Linked DNA regions of Lytechinus pictus. The protein of the gene in region 1 interacts with the protein of each later gene in a pairwise test. Links are inferred from orthologs where the notes say so. Each region holds a gene or a part of one and is shown in the gene's direction. Other genes may lie near its edges. The genes, in order: disks large homolog 1-like and ATPase family AAA domain-containing protein 3-B-like.

The links.
Region 2: the proteins of disks large homolog 1-like (region 1) and ATPase family AAA domain-containing protein 3-B-like interact in a two-hybrid assay, tested with the Caenorhabditis elegans proteins (3 studies listed by BioGRID). The link is inferred for Lytechinus pictus from reciprocal best matches to the Caenorhabditis elegans genes dlg-1 and atad-3.

Annotation. Positions count from the first base shown.
Region 1 is NC_087260.1:18,802,666-18,811,433, forward strand, and holds the start of disks large homolog 1-like, read left to right. Parts: upstream 1-5,025; 5' UTR 5,026-5,082; intron 5,083-6,390; 5' UTR 6,391-6,441; intron 6,442-8,768. UniProt on the Caenorhabditis elegans protein: Essential multidomain scaffolding protein required for normal development. Recruits channels, receptors and signaling molecules to discrete plasma membrane domains in polarized cells. Required for proper embryonic elongation.
Region 2 is NC_087258.1:24,497,353-24,506,292, reverse strand, and holds the start of ATPase family AAA domain-containing protein 3-B-like, read left to right. Parts: upstream 1-4,986; 5' UTR 4,987-5,066; coding exon 5,067-5,295; intron 5,296-8,940. UniProt on the Caenorhabditis elegans protein: Essential for mitochondrial network organization, mitochondrial metabolism and cell growth at organism and cellular level. Important during development for the up-regulation of mitochondrial activity during the transition to higher larval stages.

The DNA of each region.
Region 1 (8,768 bases):
TATCCATTTTCTTACCCTTCTTTGTGCAGTCTTGTGGGGCACTTCATGATAGCTTACAGCGCTCATCTTACAAAGAGTTGCGATTAATCCGATCGATCGCAACTATGGCATGCCAGCAAAGTCAACATATGAAATGCTTGTTTGTTAAAAAAAATTATAGATATGATGCATATCCATAAATTTGTTGATTTCTTGACAATTTGGGGTGTTCTCCTTTGTTTACAAAGTACATTTTGCAAATTTCCTGTAGAAAAAATTATGACACTGGTGGATTTCCATAGAGTTACGATTGATTGGATCAATCCTAACTCTTTGTAAGACGGGGCCCTGGTGTGCTTGAGGTACTATTTTCATCCATCAATATCATCTTGTGAAAAATCAATGCCTGGCAGAACTTTAAGATGAATGCTAAATAATTTTGCCTAAACCATAAGCTCCAGAGACTTTGATCTTCAACAAAAGTTGAGGTTCTTTTGTGGAATTTTGACTTTCTTTTAATGCGAGAAAGGTTGTTGTCACATATTTCTTTTAGTTTTGTCCTTCAATATGTTTGTTGGTCATGCAAATTTCAAGAAAAAAAATCTTGGCTGTAATCCATACATGAATATGCCCGTCTTTGTACAGTATTCATTGTGCATCTTATCCAAGTCTGCAGACACAAGAAACCATACGTGGATCTGGATATGTAGGACTGTGTACAAGATTAAACCCCCAAGGATATAGTGGGGGTTGGTTTTCAACTGCTTTGACTCAAAAACAGGAAGTGGCATGCCAAAAGAAAATCTTCGAGAATATTCAGCCGTTTAAAGAAAGCAAGTGGATGAAATATTCTTTATGGAAATCTCAGTCTCTTTACTTGAAGAGAAAGTCAAGTAATGGTAGGATAATGTTCCACTTGTTAAAATAAATCAATAATTGTAAAGAGTATCATTAAAATGCCACTTCTTGAAGTTCATTTTTCCAAGTTGTCTATTTGATTTTTTTTTTAATTTGAAAATTTGAAATAAATCAAGATTTAAGACGTGTATTCACACTTCATAAATTAGCTGTCACTTTCAGATACATACAGACTTTGGAATATCTCTATATTTCATTTATATCTTGACAGCTTGCAAAGAATTTTTTTATAAAGTGCACACCTAGTTACCAATAATGCGTATATCATTTTCATTTATTTGAATGCAGGATAAAAGAGCGTTGTCAATTAAATGTCTTGCTCATTGGCATAGGTGCCGCGGCCGGGTATCGAACCTTGGACTTTCCATCTATAGCCAGGCGCCTTAGATCACTCGGCCACGGCACCTCCACTTGAAAAGAATTGGGGAGATACCTGTTTATGGACAGATAGGATGACACAGAAACGGTTGACAATGAATTAAACAAATCTTTACTTCATCTACAAAGCTTCAGATTTCAATCTGGGATTTTCCCTTGTCACTGATGATTGGTTTTTTTCTCTCTTTTCTCTTTTCTCGTTTTTACCACTATAATCATTGTATTTTCATCTATTCCCTAAAGATTTACTGTACTCAGTGCTTTATTTTTTTGTCAATTTGAAATTTGAATTATATATGTCCCTGTTAACCAAGAATCTCCCACTCTGCACGCTGAATTCAAATAAATTTTGAATAGTGATAGTGATTTCGATGACATATTCAATTTGATTTGCTCCATTTTATTCGGGCCATTCAACTCACTAATTTTTAGGGTAGATTTAGCCTTTACACACACATTTTCACCAGACTAGGGCCCATATGATATTTTTATATTGAAATACAACCACAAATTACTTGAATAAGATCACTTTCCATTTTAACATAGCATTAAAAAAATTATATTAAGAGACGAATAGCAGATAATTTGATAACACTATAGACCATCATCGAGCATCATATTAAAAGAATACACGGGACTCAGAGAAGTATTCTTTTTATGAGTTGACCTAATAAAAAGTAGGCCTTGCCTGCTTCTAACAGTATGCCACATTTCTATGCAAAAGTTCTTCAGAGAATGAGTTAAAAATATCACATTCTTGGGTTTTCTTATGGTTATCTACCCCTTGAGGTTTGCATCAGAATGCCAAGAAACAAACAAAAATGTCAAGCCGTGACTAATAAACATGTAAAACCCACAAACTCTGGCACCTTACGGGCAAGAGAAGACTATGGAGAATTAGAAATGCCTGATGCAAAGAATGATGTGATAGCTATCTTGGATGCAAATGTCTTCTAATCCGTATTATTTTACGCATCGAATAGAGAACACGGTTGACTCCCTGAGCTGATTGAAAAACAACTTAAGATGTTGTTTAGTGAGTTGTAGAGTTTGATCGTATGTCATTAAGAATTCACTGTACACGTGTTGTTATCTGCTTCACTAGATTGATTACTGCATTTTGGTCTCTCAGTGGGCTCCAATATTTGTCGTTGTATTTCTGCCTTTGTTGCAGATTAGCATTAGAGGTTGCAAGGCTCGATCAAATTGCAGGTGTCGAGATGATTTGAAAGGGTTCTGTTATGCATTGCGGAACGTGAGTAGGATGTCTGATAAATTGCAATATTCCTAATGTGCTCCTAGTTGATGCATCTTGTTTATACAGTGGTATACAATTTGAATCATTTATTGGTTAAGCAAATTGTATTTAACTTGTGAGAATTCAAAACAGTTGAATGTTGGTGAATTCTGCGTCTCATATAGCTCATCATTATCATCATCATTACCAAAATCATCATCATCATCAACACCACCATCGTCATCTTCATTATCATCGTCACCATCATAATCATCATCATCATTACACCTCCACCATTTTCATTATCACCATGATCATTCCATTATCACTATCGTCTTCATCACCACCACCATCATCAACACCTACACCACCGCCACTGCCATAATCATCATTGTCTTCTTCACAGCAGTCATTACCACCATCTTTATCACTGTCATCACTATCACCACCATCATCATCATGATCACCACCACCCTCATCTCTACTATCACCATTGTCACTATCATCATCACCACTGCCACCATCATCATCGTTATCATCATCACCATCATCATCATTATCATCATCACTATCATCATCATCATCACCACCACCACTGCCGCCATCATCATCACCATCATTATCATCACCACCACCACCATCATCATCAACATCATTATCATCACCACCATCTTCATCATCATCATCATCACCACCACCCATCATCACCACCTCCACTATTGTCATCACTCTACCATCACCACGACCTCCAACACCACCACCATAAGCATTCATTCCACTCCTCCAACGCCCATGGCAGCCTTAAACCTGACCTCCGATCACCTATCGATCAAAACCTGATTAAGGTCGTGCCATGCATGTCACGTCACCGAGGCTAGAAGTATATAAACTCGAACTAAAGCATCTTGCAAATAGCTTTTAGCGTTTACTTCAAAATTTTTGAATAGTCACTGAAAATGAGCTTGCTATCTGAGAATAAAGTTAATAGTGTATCTTCTTTTTATTGATAATTTTTTGTACATTGCACTACAGAGCTAAATTTAAACAACACTACAGCATCAAGTTACCTGTTTAGGGGATACAGTACAAGTAAAAAGAAAATGATAAGAGATACAGACCAACAATTGTACAGACCTTGTCAGGCAGACACAGAAACCAGGAGAAAGAATTATTTAATCAATACAATACAGCGTATCATTAAATAGCTTTTTTGTTCAACCCCTGGTAATTAGCATACACAGTCTGCACTCTGCAGGCAGAAGTACCCTCTATTATGAGGCCTTGTGTCTTTAAATTTAGCAGCTTTTTAAATGAAGTAAAATTAATGTAATACCCTATCCTTGCCGCAAGCTTAAATCTCTGCGTTATGATTCCAAATGGTGATATATAGTCCATGATATGTTGTTTACTACCTGCTGATGCAATTTAGATGTTTAATGAGGAAAGGAGAAATTTTTTCGACCATGCGGGAAGAGCGGGGCTTTTATGTACTTGAAACCAGCCAATATTTGTTAGATGTAGTTGTTATTTTCATGGTACGGCTAATTGGATCTGATGAGATTAGTTCTGCATTTTGTGGTGGGACTTATCAAAATGTTTCTCCGATGTTTATTGAATGCTTGGTTTTAAATATGAATGCTTATAACTTTGCTCATTTAGGCCTATGTGTATGTGTCGGAAAAAATTGTGTGTTGATGAGTTCAAGAAAAGGGTATGTGAATACTGATTGTGATTATGATATTGGTGGTATTGTTTGAGGTATGTATTATGATTGCATAATTTGGTAAAAACATTTTAACTTAAGAATCGGATGATTATATGGTGATGAGGAGTTGTGATGTTGATAGTGGCATTGGTGGTGGTGATGATGTCAATGTTGATGTGATGATGTTATGATGATGATGGTTGTGGTGGTCATGATGATGGTTGGAATGAAGATGATTATGGCAGTGAAGGTGACAGTTATGATAATGATGATGATGATGATGATGATTATGATGATGATGATGATGATGATGACGATGGTGGTGATGGTGGTGTTGATGATGATGAATACGACGACGATGATGATGATGATTATGATGATGATGACGATGATGATGGTGGTGGTGATGATGATGATGATGATTATGATGATGATGACGATGATGGTGGTGGTGGTGATGGTGGTGATGGTGGTGGTGGTGTTGTTGATGATGATGACGATGACGGTGGTGGTGATGGTGGTGGTGGTGGTGGTGGTGATTATGATGATGATGATAATGATGATGAGGTTATAAAAATGGCATTGGTTATGAAAGTGGTAGTAATGTAAAAATAAAGGAGAAAGTTGTTGTAATTGTTGATGCTGTAAATGGCTGATAAATTGTGGTAATGGCGATGCTGATTATTATGCTAATCTTGAGTTTAATAACTAGTAATTCACTATCATAAGTACTCCCCCATATTAGTGTTTTTGACATTGACAGTAGTAAATAAAATTTCCTTCCTTTTTCTTCTTTTCTTTTCAGCAGCCCTCACCTTCATCACCAGTGTTATCAGACAGATTAGAGGGAACAGGAACCCCGACAGTAAGTACAAAATACCCGCTGCTAAGACTTTAAAGGGGAACTTCACCATAACGCTGTGTTTATTTCAATAAAAACAGACAAATTTTCAAAAAATAGTGGTGAAGGTTGGGCAACAATCCATCAAAGAAAACAAGAGTATCCACCATACCAACAACATCACTTTCAATTTTTTTTTTTGAGAAAATGGCATTTTAAAAGATTGACATCACATGGAGGTGTCTTTACCATCAGAGATCACAAGCCATGCATTATGCATTGATCAAAGGGCATACAACTGTTGCTTTTGACTTCAGGAAAACGGTGTACCTCCACCTACCATACACAGCCTCGTGCAAAAACCTAATGCAAGATCCGGGCACAGAATTTCAGTGCAATCCACCAAATTTATGATTAATCACATTTTCTTCCTCCATTGTGGTTGGGTTTGTTTCCGTTTCCCCCGGCTTCCTGCGAAGTTTGATTCTGTAAGCGACGCCGTCACACCATCGTTCATTTGATTTGTTCAATAGGTTGAAACATTTGATTTCATTATACCAGAACAGCCGATTACACCATGTACATTTCACATACTCCAATCATGTGTATTATGTACACAAGATTTAGCTACTCTGATACAAAAAGCACATTTCAGGGGAGTGAGCGATGTAGAATTTAAAAATCCATGTGAATTAGTTGGGTTGTTTTTTCGTATCACGCTCTGACAATGAAAATTGCTAACAGAGCTATGCAGATGTAGGAATGTATTATATGATACCCTGAAAAAAGTCTAATTACTTTATTTTCCTTGCTTATTGCCAACTAGACATACTTTATAAACTGCAAACCCTTGTATTATTACTGACTAATAAGTCTTTTTCTATATACCAGAAGAAATTAGCACATATTTAAATGTATTAATACAAATAAATCATTGGTAGTCATACAAGTTAGATTTAAATGACTTTGGCATACCCAGTCATAATACTGAAAAATTATAAAATTGACTGTACTCTCTTTTGGAAAATTTTGGAATTGCATAATTTGGAATTTTTCAGGAATTTGAAAAGAATGAGTGTTATCTAGAGTAGATATGAGGTTATTTTTCTTTTTTTTTCATGAACCAAAAAATTGATATCAAGTTTTATGTACGGGAACAGCGGAGCATATTTTCATTCGATTTTTTTGTAATGATAAGTTGATGGCAATTTTCTTTACCTTTTCTCATTTTTATGAGGAATTGTTCCTATTTAATATATATTGTCTCTTCTTAAACTCTTGGTTTTTTTTTGTGTCTCCTTTTTTTTCTCTCTCTCTCTATCTCTCTGTCAGATACAAAATAGAGATACTCAGTGGCAATATGAGGAAATCACATTAGTACGGGTAAGTTTACCATGTTTATTCCTTTTTCTTCTTCCTCTCCTCCCATTTCTTCATCTTCTTCCTAGTTTTTGTCTGTTCTTCTAATGCTCTGGTTTTTTTATCTTCACTTCGTTTTCTTTCTTATTTATCTTATATTTTATCCCCCATCTTCATCATCCATCTCATTCCTTTTCTACTTTTCTTTCTCCTCCTTCATTCTTCTCCTTTTTATCCTTCATCATATTACTTTCATTCTCTCACTTTCTTTGATGTCCTAATGCATTTTTACCATGCTCCATGTCATCTCCAAAGATTAATCACAATCTTATTTTTTTTAATTCAATTGTGAAAAAAAAATCAACCATCACCTTTATATAGGCAACTCCAAATAAAAATCCAATCTGCAATTTAAAAGGGGGGGGGTAGAATTCCTGATGCATGTCCAAGACAATACAGAAAGTCTTGAACAGAGACCAAATCCCCAATTTGAGCAAGAGAAGCTAGACATCGGAGATACAGATTAGTCTCTTTTTCCAGACAGTGTTATTGTCTTCATACTAATCAGAGACCGACTTCTCATGCATCTGTTGCCCCTGGGTTTTTTTTCTTTTTCTACTTATTTTTGAAAGGCCATCAGATAGATTCCATTATTCATAGAGTTATCGATTTTCATAACAACCTCCATCTTCTCATCTTGAATGTTATTTTTAGACCTTCGTTTAAACTCAAATATGCACAAAACCTCAAGCTTGGGGATCAAAATATGACATGGATAATTCCATCTGGTATGATATGCATAATTAAGGCCTCGAAGAAGACATCTGTAATTATCTTTTGCATCGTTTGGCCAGGAGAGAACTAAAAGATAATAGCGAGATGAAATTATTCTGCATTTTGTGGATTATTCCGTGGAGTTTGCTGACATTTTGTCATGAAGAATTTGATCAGGTTTATTGTGAAATTGAGGAGAAATTGTAACACGGGTAATTTCCGAGTTGGTTTAGGGCAGTTTTTTCTGGTTCGAGATGACTTTAGTTGAGCTTCCTTTTTAATAATCTGAAACAGAAAGTTTGTTTTATTAGAATTTTTTTATAAAAATTATGTTTTTTCCTAATTTATCTACTCAATATTGGATTTTCTCTGAATGTTATTGACAGGATTGTCTCCCTTATATATTATCCATGTATGTGTAACATGATACATAAATTTCACATCTTATTTTATTCCACCCCCTTGGACCCCCCCCCCCTCTTTTGCAATTCCGTTCTTTCCCCCCCCCCTCCCCCTTCATTATTCCACCCATTTATCTATCTCGCTCTTTCTCTCCTCTCTATCTCCCCATAAGCTTATTTTCACTCCCTCTTTCTATCATTCACTCATTCATTAATTTCCCTGCAGTGATTTCCCTCCTGCAAATACAATTTTTCAATCACCTTTTCTTATTAAGTATTGATAAATACATTTCTCCTTGCCCATCGTAAAAAAAAAATCATTTCTACATTCATCGACATCAAACCATCGCCCTCCTCCTTTTCCTTTCGTCCCGAGTTGCGAGACTAAACCACTGTGGAATTTGAAGATTGGGAAGAGTAAATAACATTTCATAAATGCCTCATGCACATGGCCATTTCTCTATTTTCTCATTTCTCCATTTTCTCGTTCTCGTCCCCAAATTACTAACCATCACTCTCCCATCTTCCGCCAGCACCAGAGTCGATTTTTCTAAACTCCAGTCTAGTCAATTTTGCCAGCCTTGAGTCACAGGCATCCGACATATGTCGCACATTTCTTGTTGATTTCCCAGGGTAGTTTCAATTTAGCCTCGCTTCCCTGTGCTATGAAACCATCCATCAGACCGTACTGTCACAAACGTATCCCAAACCAACATTTGATAGCCCGGCCCAGCACTGCGCCTTCGTCGAGCGTAGTAATGCATTACCGGGCAAAAAGAATTCAATTTTCAAACAGTTTGGGAATACTTTGACATGTGTATATCTTCTCATGGCATGGGCAGTGAGACTTCGTTTTGCAAATTTTAGGGGAAATCACTTTTTATTGTATATGGCTAGATAATACATCAAATGATGACCTGCCATAACTCAAGCTTTTTATCATTAAAATTAAGCCTCTATCCAAAGTTCTCCTTTCTATCAACATAAAATGCCCCACCCCCAAAAAAAGTCGAGATGTAAAAATTTGATCGCAATATACTTGTCAATATTTTCTCATGTCAATTCAACCTCCCACCCCACTAACCCCCCCCCCCACATCGCCAATTAAATAATGATCAACACAACCTTCACCTTTTTGATTAATTATTAGAATTAGGAATTTCTTATGATACTCGT
Region 2 (8,940 bases), on another chromosome or scaffold:
CCATACTCTTTTAGGAGGGCGGTCATTACTTTACTCCCCAAAAAAGGAGACCTCGCTGATATTTCAAATTGGCGTCCCGTCTCCCTCCTCAACACAGACTATAAAATTTTTGCTAGGCTGCTTGCCAGTAGGCTAAAATCATGCATTGACCATGTTATTGGAAGAGACCAAAGTTATTGTATCCCCGGTCGTTCTATTTATGACAACATTAATCTCATTAGAGATATTTTGTTCTATGCAAACACTGATAATATTTCTTTGGCTGTATTGAACTTGGACCAGAAAAAGGCATTTGATAATGTAGATCATGTTTATTTATTCAATGTTATGAAACGCATGGGCTTTGGAAGTCATTTTATATCTTATATACGAATTTTGTATGAAGGGTCTGAAAGCCTTATTAAAGTGTGTGGATCCCTGACAGCTCCCTTCCCCTTTGAGAAAGGAATACGACAGGGATGCCCTCTCTCAGGGTTGCTATATACTCTCGCCATTGAGCCTCTCCTGAACTCACTAAGAGAGAACGTGTCAAATCATGCATTAAATATCCCTGCTATTAACAAACCTTGTGTAGTATCTGCATATGCAGACGATGTATCGATATTTGTTACAGCCGATGCTGGCTTTGAATTAGTTGAACAAACTTACAATACGTTTAGTCTGGCCTCTACTGCATGTTTAAATACAAAAAAATCACAAGGCCTTTGGGTCGGCCGTTGGAAAGGGCGGAATGATAAACCCCTCAACTTTTCTTGGAATAGTGAAGGTCTCCCCTTTTTAGGAGTTCATTTAGGGAACACGTTTAATTATTCTAAACAAAACTGGATTAAATGTAAAGAAAGACTTAATAAGACTTTCATTTCGTGGTCTCGTTTATCGAACTCACTCTCATTTAAAGGCAAGGTATTGATTGCAAACCAGCTCGCTGCATCAAAAATATTTCATGTTCTTGCAGTTCTTTCTCCTCCTGAAAATGTATTAAACGAACTTCAGAATTTAATTGTGAATTTTATCTGGTCAAATAAGCGGCACTGGTTAAAGAAAGAAGTGTTGTATGAAAAACCTGACGAAGGAGGGCTGGGGCTAGCTTGTCTCCAAGCTCGTGTTCTAACTTACAGATTTTCGATTATTCAACGGTTTCTTTCGTTAAATTCTCATCCAGTAAACGACTTTATGGCTCATTTTCTGAGACAGTATTGTAAATTAGGATTTGATTACCATTTGTTCTTTACAAGAATTGATCCTAAGTTTTACACAAGTCTTCCAGTTTACTACAGTGAAGTTCTGCGAGCTTGGTTGACATCTGGAGCTCGAATTGTGACACAATCCCTCTCTTTCAGCCATGCAATTAACATGCCCTTAAATAGTTTTCATATTATTGATGCAATTGATGTTGATAATTTTTTTCCGACGCGCCTGATGGCATGCGGAGTGAAACTAGTTCGCCATTTGATAAACCACTCAACTGGTCTTTGGATTGAGAGTAGCTGTCTCCAAAAGAACTTTCCAAGAGGACTTCGACAACCATCATCGCGTCTCATCGAACGTGAAACATTACTCATTCGAACTGCACTCTCTAAAGTTTTTCCTACATATTTTAATGACTCAGGCTGTCAACACGAATACTCTGATCTATTGTCTGCTCCAGTTACTCCGATCAACTTCACTCTGGCTTCTTCCGAAAATGGACTTACTGCTTCTTCTAAAGCCATCTACAGAATCTACAGGAAAGAACTAGATAATACGACAATCTCATCAAGCTCACATTGGCATGATACTGGATTTCTCGATCCATCTACAAAAGTGAACTGGCTATCTATCTATCAATTACCAACACCTAAAAAAGAGGCTGATATTCAATACAAGCTCCTTCACAATATTTTACCGTCGCTCACTATACTCCATCATCTTAATACAGACATTTCTTCTTTTTGCGGATGGTGCGGAGAACCAGGAACCATTCAACATCTGTTCATCGAATGTAAAGGAATCCAACCCCCTCTCAATCTTCTTCATAGACTGTTGAACAATCTCCTCCCCTCTCTCAAACTTAATTTTGACCTATACTGGGCACTCATTCCGCATGCCAGAGGGCGTGACAGAAAGGTTATCCGCCTTGCTAATTTCCTTATTATTAGTTTAAAAAGTACCATTTATTTTATGTACCGTACCTCAAATTTCACCGATCCACTTATTATTTGGTTACATCGTCTCAAAAACAGAATACTCTATGAATTTACTTATTACAAATTATGTTCTAATATTGATGCTTTTTCACGTAAATGGTGTATGAATAGATTACTTTTTACAATTAACGAGGGCAGCATTGCATGGCTCATTTAACATTTGGTTTTATAACTCTGTGCTTGTAATCAACCTGATCTCATTTGAATGTTTATGTCAAACTATTCTTTTATTATATACCTGACTTTTGTGATTATAATTTGTAAATAAAGTTTTCATTTGAAAAGTCAAAAAAGTCTTTCTTTCTTTCTTTCTTTCTTTCTTTCTTTCTTTCTTTCTTTCTTTCTTTCTTTCTTTCTTTCTTTCTTTCTTTCTTTCTTTCTTTCTTTCTTTCTTTCTTTCTTTCTTTCTTTCTTTCTTTCTTTCTTTCTTTCTTTCTTTCTTTCTTTCTTTCTTTCTTTCTTTCTTTCTTTCTTTCTTTCTTTCTTTCTTTCTTTCTTTCTTTCTTTCTTTCTTTCTTTCTTTCTTTCTTTCTTTCTTTCTTTCTTTCTTTCTTTCTTTCTTTCTTTCTTTCTTTCTTTCTTTCTTTCTTTCTTTCTTTCTTTCTTTCTTTCTTTCTTTCTTTCTTTCTTTCTTTCTTTCTTTCTTTCCCTTCCCTTTTTCTCTTTCTCCTTTTCCTGTTTTTTTATTTTCCCGGTGAAATCCGCAAGGGGGGGGCAGCTTGCCCCCTGCCCCCATCATACGTTTGCTTATTTGACCAGTCTTTTACAACCACCTTTGAAAAAAATATAAAATAAATCAGTCATTTTTTAGTGCACGCGCGGCCCGAGTCCAAATCTGAAACCCCCCCCCCCCGGAGAATACCGCCCCTGCATGATGATAAATTTGTCAGTATATAGGGCCTAAATGGCATACTTGCTGGATTTTCTATTTTCATCAAAATTGCCTTTTTTGTTGGGATCGATGGACTTGCCCCTAATTCTAGCCCGATTGAGTAAAATATATGGACCCCCACACAGACGGGTGGGGGGTGTCAAGCACTGGCGTAAATCCGTGTTGATGGGTGGGGGGGATGACTGAAATATTTTGGCATTTTTTGCAATCATGTTTTTAGATATGCAAGGAATTGTCATTGATATGTCCACAGTGGCGTACCGTGGGTCACGGCATTGGGGAGGGGGGGGGGGGGGCACCAGCAAAATTTTTGAATCACTAAGTGAGTGCGCTAAGTTGCCAGTTATACTGACCTAATAGAGACATTTTAAAGACAATGTCATTAAACGGATATGTAGCTCACTGATCAAATAATGCGAGCGCGAAGCGCGAGCTGAAATTTTTTTATATTCACACCTAAAAGGGGACAATATAATCAAATTTGTGTAATCATGATAGGTACCTGTCTCGCTAAACAATGCGAGCGCGAAGCGCGAGCTGAACACTTAGATAATTCAGACCTGAAGTGGGGCATTCTAAGGTTTCTTTGTAGGAATTAACTAGGACCATACGTATTTCATTAACCAAATGATGCGAGTGCGAAGCGCGAGCTGAAAATTTTTGATATTCAGATCAGAAGAAGGGACATTTTAAGGACTGATTTTAGGAATTCATGAAGAGCAGACATATCTCACCAATCCACTAATGCAAACGTAATCACGGACAGGAAATGTTTCATATATACGAAGACCTTAACATGGGGCAATCACTTTTGAGTCATGAAAAAGAAGCATATGTCACTACATAAAACAATGATAACTCAAGTGCTAGGAAATATATTTGGTTTATATTGACTTGAAAACGGTATGTTACAGGATTATATATCTCGTTAAACAGACAATGCGAGCACCAGGAACAATAAAAATAGACGTAGGCCCTGGGCAAATTATGTTTCATAAAGTTGTAATATAACATAATTATAATATAATATAACATTATAATGAATAATATAACATTATAATGAATAATATTTTCTTCTTTCCCACTACGTTTCTCTTCCTTTCTCCCTCTTTTCTCCTTTTCCCCCTTTCCTCGTTTTTGTTTTTGGTCAGCCGATGGGGGGGGGGGGGGGGGGGGGATGTGCCCCCCATGTCCCCCGTAGTTACGCCACTGTATATCCATATGGCAAATACCCCTCCAATATTATTATCTTTTTTACCCCATGATGGTAATAATGGTTTTATTAGAGATTACATTAAAAAAAATTTGACATTCCATCTTCATCCCTTCCCAAAGACCCCAACATTGATGAATTGGAAGAAACAGGGGTTTCTCTTCAATGTTATAATAAGGACATAAGTATTTCGTTTGGAAATGGTGAAATTGCTCTTTATTTGCATTTTATGATTTAATAATATTGTTTTATTTGTTAAGCGGTATTTTAGGAAGAATTTTCACCAATAAAACAATTATCTCTTGTGATTTTTTTTTTCATTTCTTTCGTAAAAAGTGGGGGTTGTGATTTTTTTTTTCATTTCTTTCGTAAAAAGTGGGGGGGGGGGATGTTTGTACAGGCCATTCCCCCCCTCCTCGAAAGTGGGGGGGATATATCCCCCCATCCCCCCCGGGATTTACGCCAGTGGTGTCAAGTATCGATCTGAAAAATATAGTCTCCAAATTATAGCCATATACATTTATGATTTAATATCACAACCAAATATAGGGAACGAAATAATTTTGAATAAACACGAAAGTGAAAGTGTTCGAACAAAGTACAGTATTTTATTGCCTTCGTGGTTCGCCTCGGGCTTTCTGCGTTAGGAAGAAAAAAATCTTATTAGCTTAGATTTATTGATCAAAGACTAGTCCAGTTTCAACTTTGACCTCAGCAATACACACACGTGCATTGGCATTACATCAGCGAGAATAGCCTGTAAAATCTCTTCAAAATGTCGTGGTTGTTTGGGATTCGGAAGGACCAGCCTCTGCCAGAGGCACCTCAACTTCCAGTTTTACAAGATGGAGGATCGGGAGCTTCATCAGGAGGAGGAAAAGATGGAAAGGGGGACAGTGGATCAGGAGGAGGAGGAAAAGGAGCCGGCTACAGCAACTTCAGTAACTTCGACCCGTCGGGCCTGGAGCGGGCGGCCCAGGCTGCCCGCGAGCTCGACAAGTCCGGTGAGCGAGTAGGATTATTTGGGGATCAGGGGCCCGTTTCTCAACACCTGGACAAGTTAGTCATATCTTTATCCACCAACCACGGAGTTAGTTCCAATCTTACTAAACCTGTTTCACGAAAGGCTTCCTAACTAGAATACCTTGATATCGATACTCTCGGTAAAAAGAGCAGACGAGACGTAGCCTTACTTAGTCACAAAATAGCATAATTTTCAAAAAGAAAAATTATGACAAAATTGCAAATATTGTGATAAATTGGGGAATACATCTTTTCAAAATAATAGCACATGTAAACTATGCATCATACATACTTAGACCATGAAGATTGGAGCATTCAATTGCTGAGAAAATTAAATTATGAATAGTTTATTTCATGACTAGAAAATCACATGTGGACGTAGACCAAAAGCTTCGGTCTCTGTTATGTTGGTTGTTCAGCTGAACTCCGTTGGCTTCACTCACCAAATACAGAGACCGAAGTTCTAGCGCGATCTGTACAGGGGACTCAATGGCCATATGTTTATGTACTTAAGATCGGATAAAACGGGGAAGTGAATTTGCGCGACAGCCGAGGTAAGTCACTGTTTTTGTTCCTTTTAACTTGATTTTTCTCAGTTTTTTGGCAATTAATGCCAAGAGGGAATATTAATTTGCATTTTGGTCGCGTTAATTTTCAAAATTTTTATTCATTAAAGACAACAATTGAAGAGCCCCGACGGGGGGATTTTGCATTGCAAGTCCCCTAATGGTGGCTGCACGCTAGCGAGCCGTCTGTGTACGAGGAGAAAAAAAAAAAAAAAAAAGTTAAAAAACTCCTCGAAACAGACGGCTGCCAGCTGTCTAATGTGGACGTTGAGATGCCTGGGTACCCCCGTGACATCGAATTTTAATAGTTTACGAAAATAAACCATAACGGTTTTCTTTTTAAAATGATGATAATTATACGCCCTTCTACGATTCAAAACATCATCAAAATATAGTTTAACAAAACCAAACATAAATATTTGATACCGAAACATACGATTTGACAAATTCTATGCATAAATTAGAGATAGAATTTATCCAAATGTTAATAGGGGTCTGAAAACAACAAATACGAGTCCAGTTATGGATGGCCTGACGTGGTAGAATCTTTATCGATTAAATCATTTTACTATTTCAAAGTGAATGGTTTTGTGGCGTTTTACCAACAGTTCTTTGTATTAGAATTATCATTGAATGCGTTATCCCACTTGTTTTGTGATGTAATTTCAACCTCTATGATTGATTACGTAAGATTATTATTTTCAAATTTCTTGGCACTTTTGCATGTCATAGTCTACACACGTGATGCCACTACGTCATTAAGAAAGAAGTTATGACAGGTTCGGAGGTGTCATAAATATTTAGTGAGGTTGTTGTACCCGATCTTGGTAAAGAGGGCTTCGTGAAACGGTTAGCGGACAAGTAGCTCACTATCTCCGATTTAGTCAAGAAGTTAGACTTATGACGGTGTTGAGAAACGGGCCCCTGATGTCCACTGCACTGAAAGCTGTCTTAAGACTTACATGTAACTTAAGCAGATAAGAAAATTATCTTTGTCTGTGACCACAATTTTAGTATTTCCTATCATTACGTTAAACTTAAAAAATAAAATGATTTCTTGGGAGTTTCATGTAGGCCTACCTAGCCTATTTTGTGTAAATTACTAAAATGTGATTTGTTAAAAAATTGTGTTGTAAATGTAAGTTACTAAGTAACGGATTGTGTAGTGTGCGCTGGCCTAGAGCACCATATCCACGTGGATTGTGCTCAAGCCACTGAAGAAAGTGAAAGGAAGGGTCATAAAGATGTCTTTCCTTGAGCCAGGGTTACACCAAAATCGAATCGTCCCTAATATAATAATTTCAGACCAATTCTGCAAGAATATGGCCTGATTCGGATGGAATTAGTGGATTCGAAACCTATTCGTCTCCCTGAATTAGAGGTGAATAGGTCCTGAATCAGAGCAGAATTGACTGCCAGAATACCCCAAATGCCTCCCAGAATCTATCGGAATTTCCTCCGAATATATCCTGAAAGTGGCCCGATTTAAATTTGTCGTGGCCAGATACGAGTCTTTCGGAGAGTATTCGGCTGGTTTTAAACATTTCAAAATGAGCTGAATCTCTCCACGAATGTTCCCTAATCCCTCTCGAATTTACTGGCATTCTGGGAAGGAGAAAAGAGTACTCCTGAATACATTGTAGATACATGTATTTGGATGGATTCACAGCTGATTCGGTTTCGGTGTAACCCAGGCTTAAACTTTAAAGGAGAATGAAACCCTTGAAACCAGCTGAATCCATATCAAAGAGAAAAATCAAAGAAACATATTGTTGAAAGTTTGAGGAAGATTGATTGAATAATAAGAAAGTTATGAGCATTTGAATGTCAATATCACTAATGCCATGTAGATCCTCCCATTGGCAATGCGACCAAGATCTGTGATGTCACACACGTACAACTCCCTCATTACTTTAGTACTTATTTCACTTATATTCTCACTTTTATAGAGTCTATCACAAGGTGAGGTGTTCTCTTTATGAGAGGACAAGTACAAAGGTTTCACAACATTATATCATTGATAAATCGTTTGCATATGATTAGAATGAGCAAAAAGAGAAGTTTTGGGGTATATTTTCAGTGTCCAAAAGGGGAGAGTTGTTCATCTGTGACATCATAGATCTTGGTCGCATTGCCAATGGGAGGATCTCCATAGCATTAGTGATCTAGACATTCAAATGCTCATAGCTCTTCTATTGCTAGTCCTATTTCACTCAAACTTTTGTTGATCTTATTCTTTGATTTTTCTGCTTTCACAAAAGCTAACTTGCTCCAAGAGTTTCATTCTCCTTTAACCAATGTAACTCCACACATCTATTTATATATCTGAAAAAAATAGAATGTTTACATTCCTTGAACTTGACAATGCTTATTGACTGTTTTATAGCGAAAAATTGAATACTTGAAATGAATATATAATGCTGTATAAGCTGTTATTTTCGCGGGGGTTTTATTTTCGTGGATTTCGCGAATCGCCGATCGGCCTTGAATTTAATAACATGCGAAAATATTGACACATTTATTAGTCAGTGCCAATATTCCCAACAGCAAAGCTTTCCTATTGAAAACATCCTGTGTAGTGAAAAAGTTGAGATATGCATCTCTATGTGTACAAAAAAACTTAGAAAGTCCAGTAAATGATTTAAAAAGTTAGCTAGAATTTCACTTTTTTTATTTCTCAAACAAAATCATAGCCTAATCTATTTTCTTACATAATTTCTATCAATATTTATTCACTCACTGTGATATTAGAATGTATTTTCCATGAAATGATTTGATTTTATTGTCATCTGATTGACTCTATACACACGTATTGGCAGCTATTTGCATACTCATTAATATTCATAAGTCACATGACCAGAGCTTTCAGAAGTGTAAGATTCTGTTCACAAAATTCAACATTTTTGCACTTATATCAACTTTTTGAGCAATGAATCTAACAAAACACAAATTCCAAAGATTGCTCAACCCTATGGATTACAGATCAAACTGTGACATGATTAATATTTAGATCTAAAGATAAAAAAAGTAAAATTTAAGCCACCTTTTCCCACTTTTTGT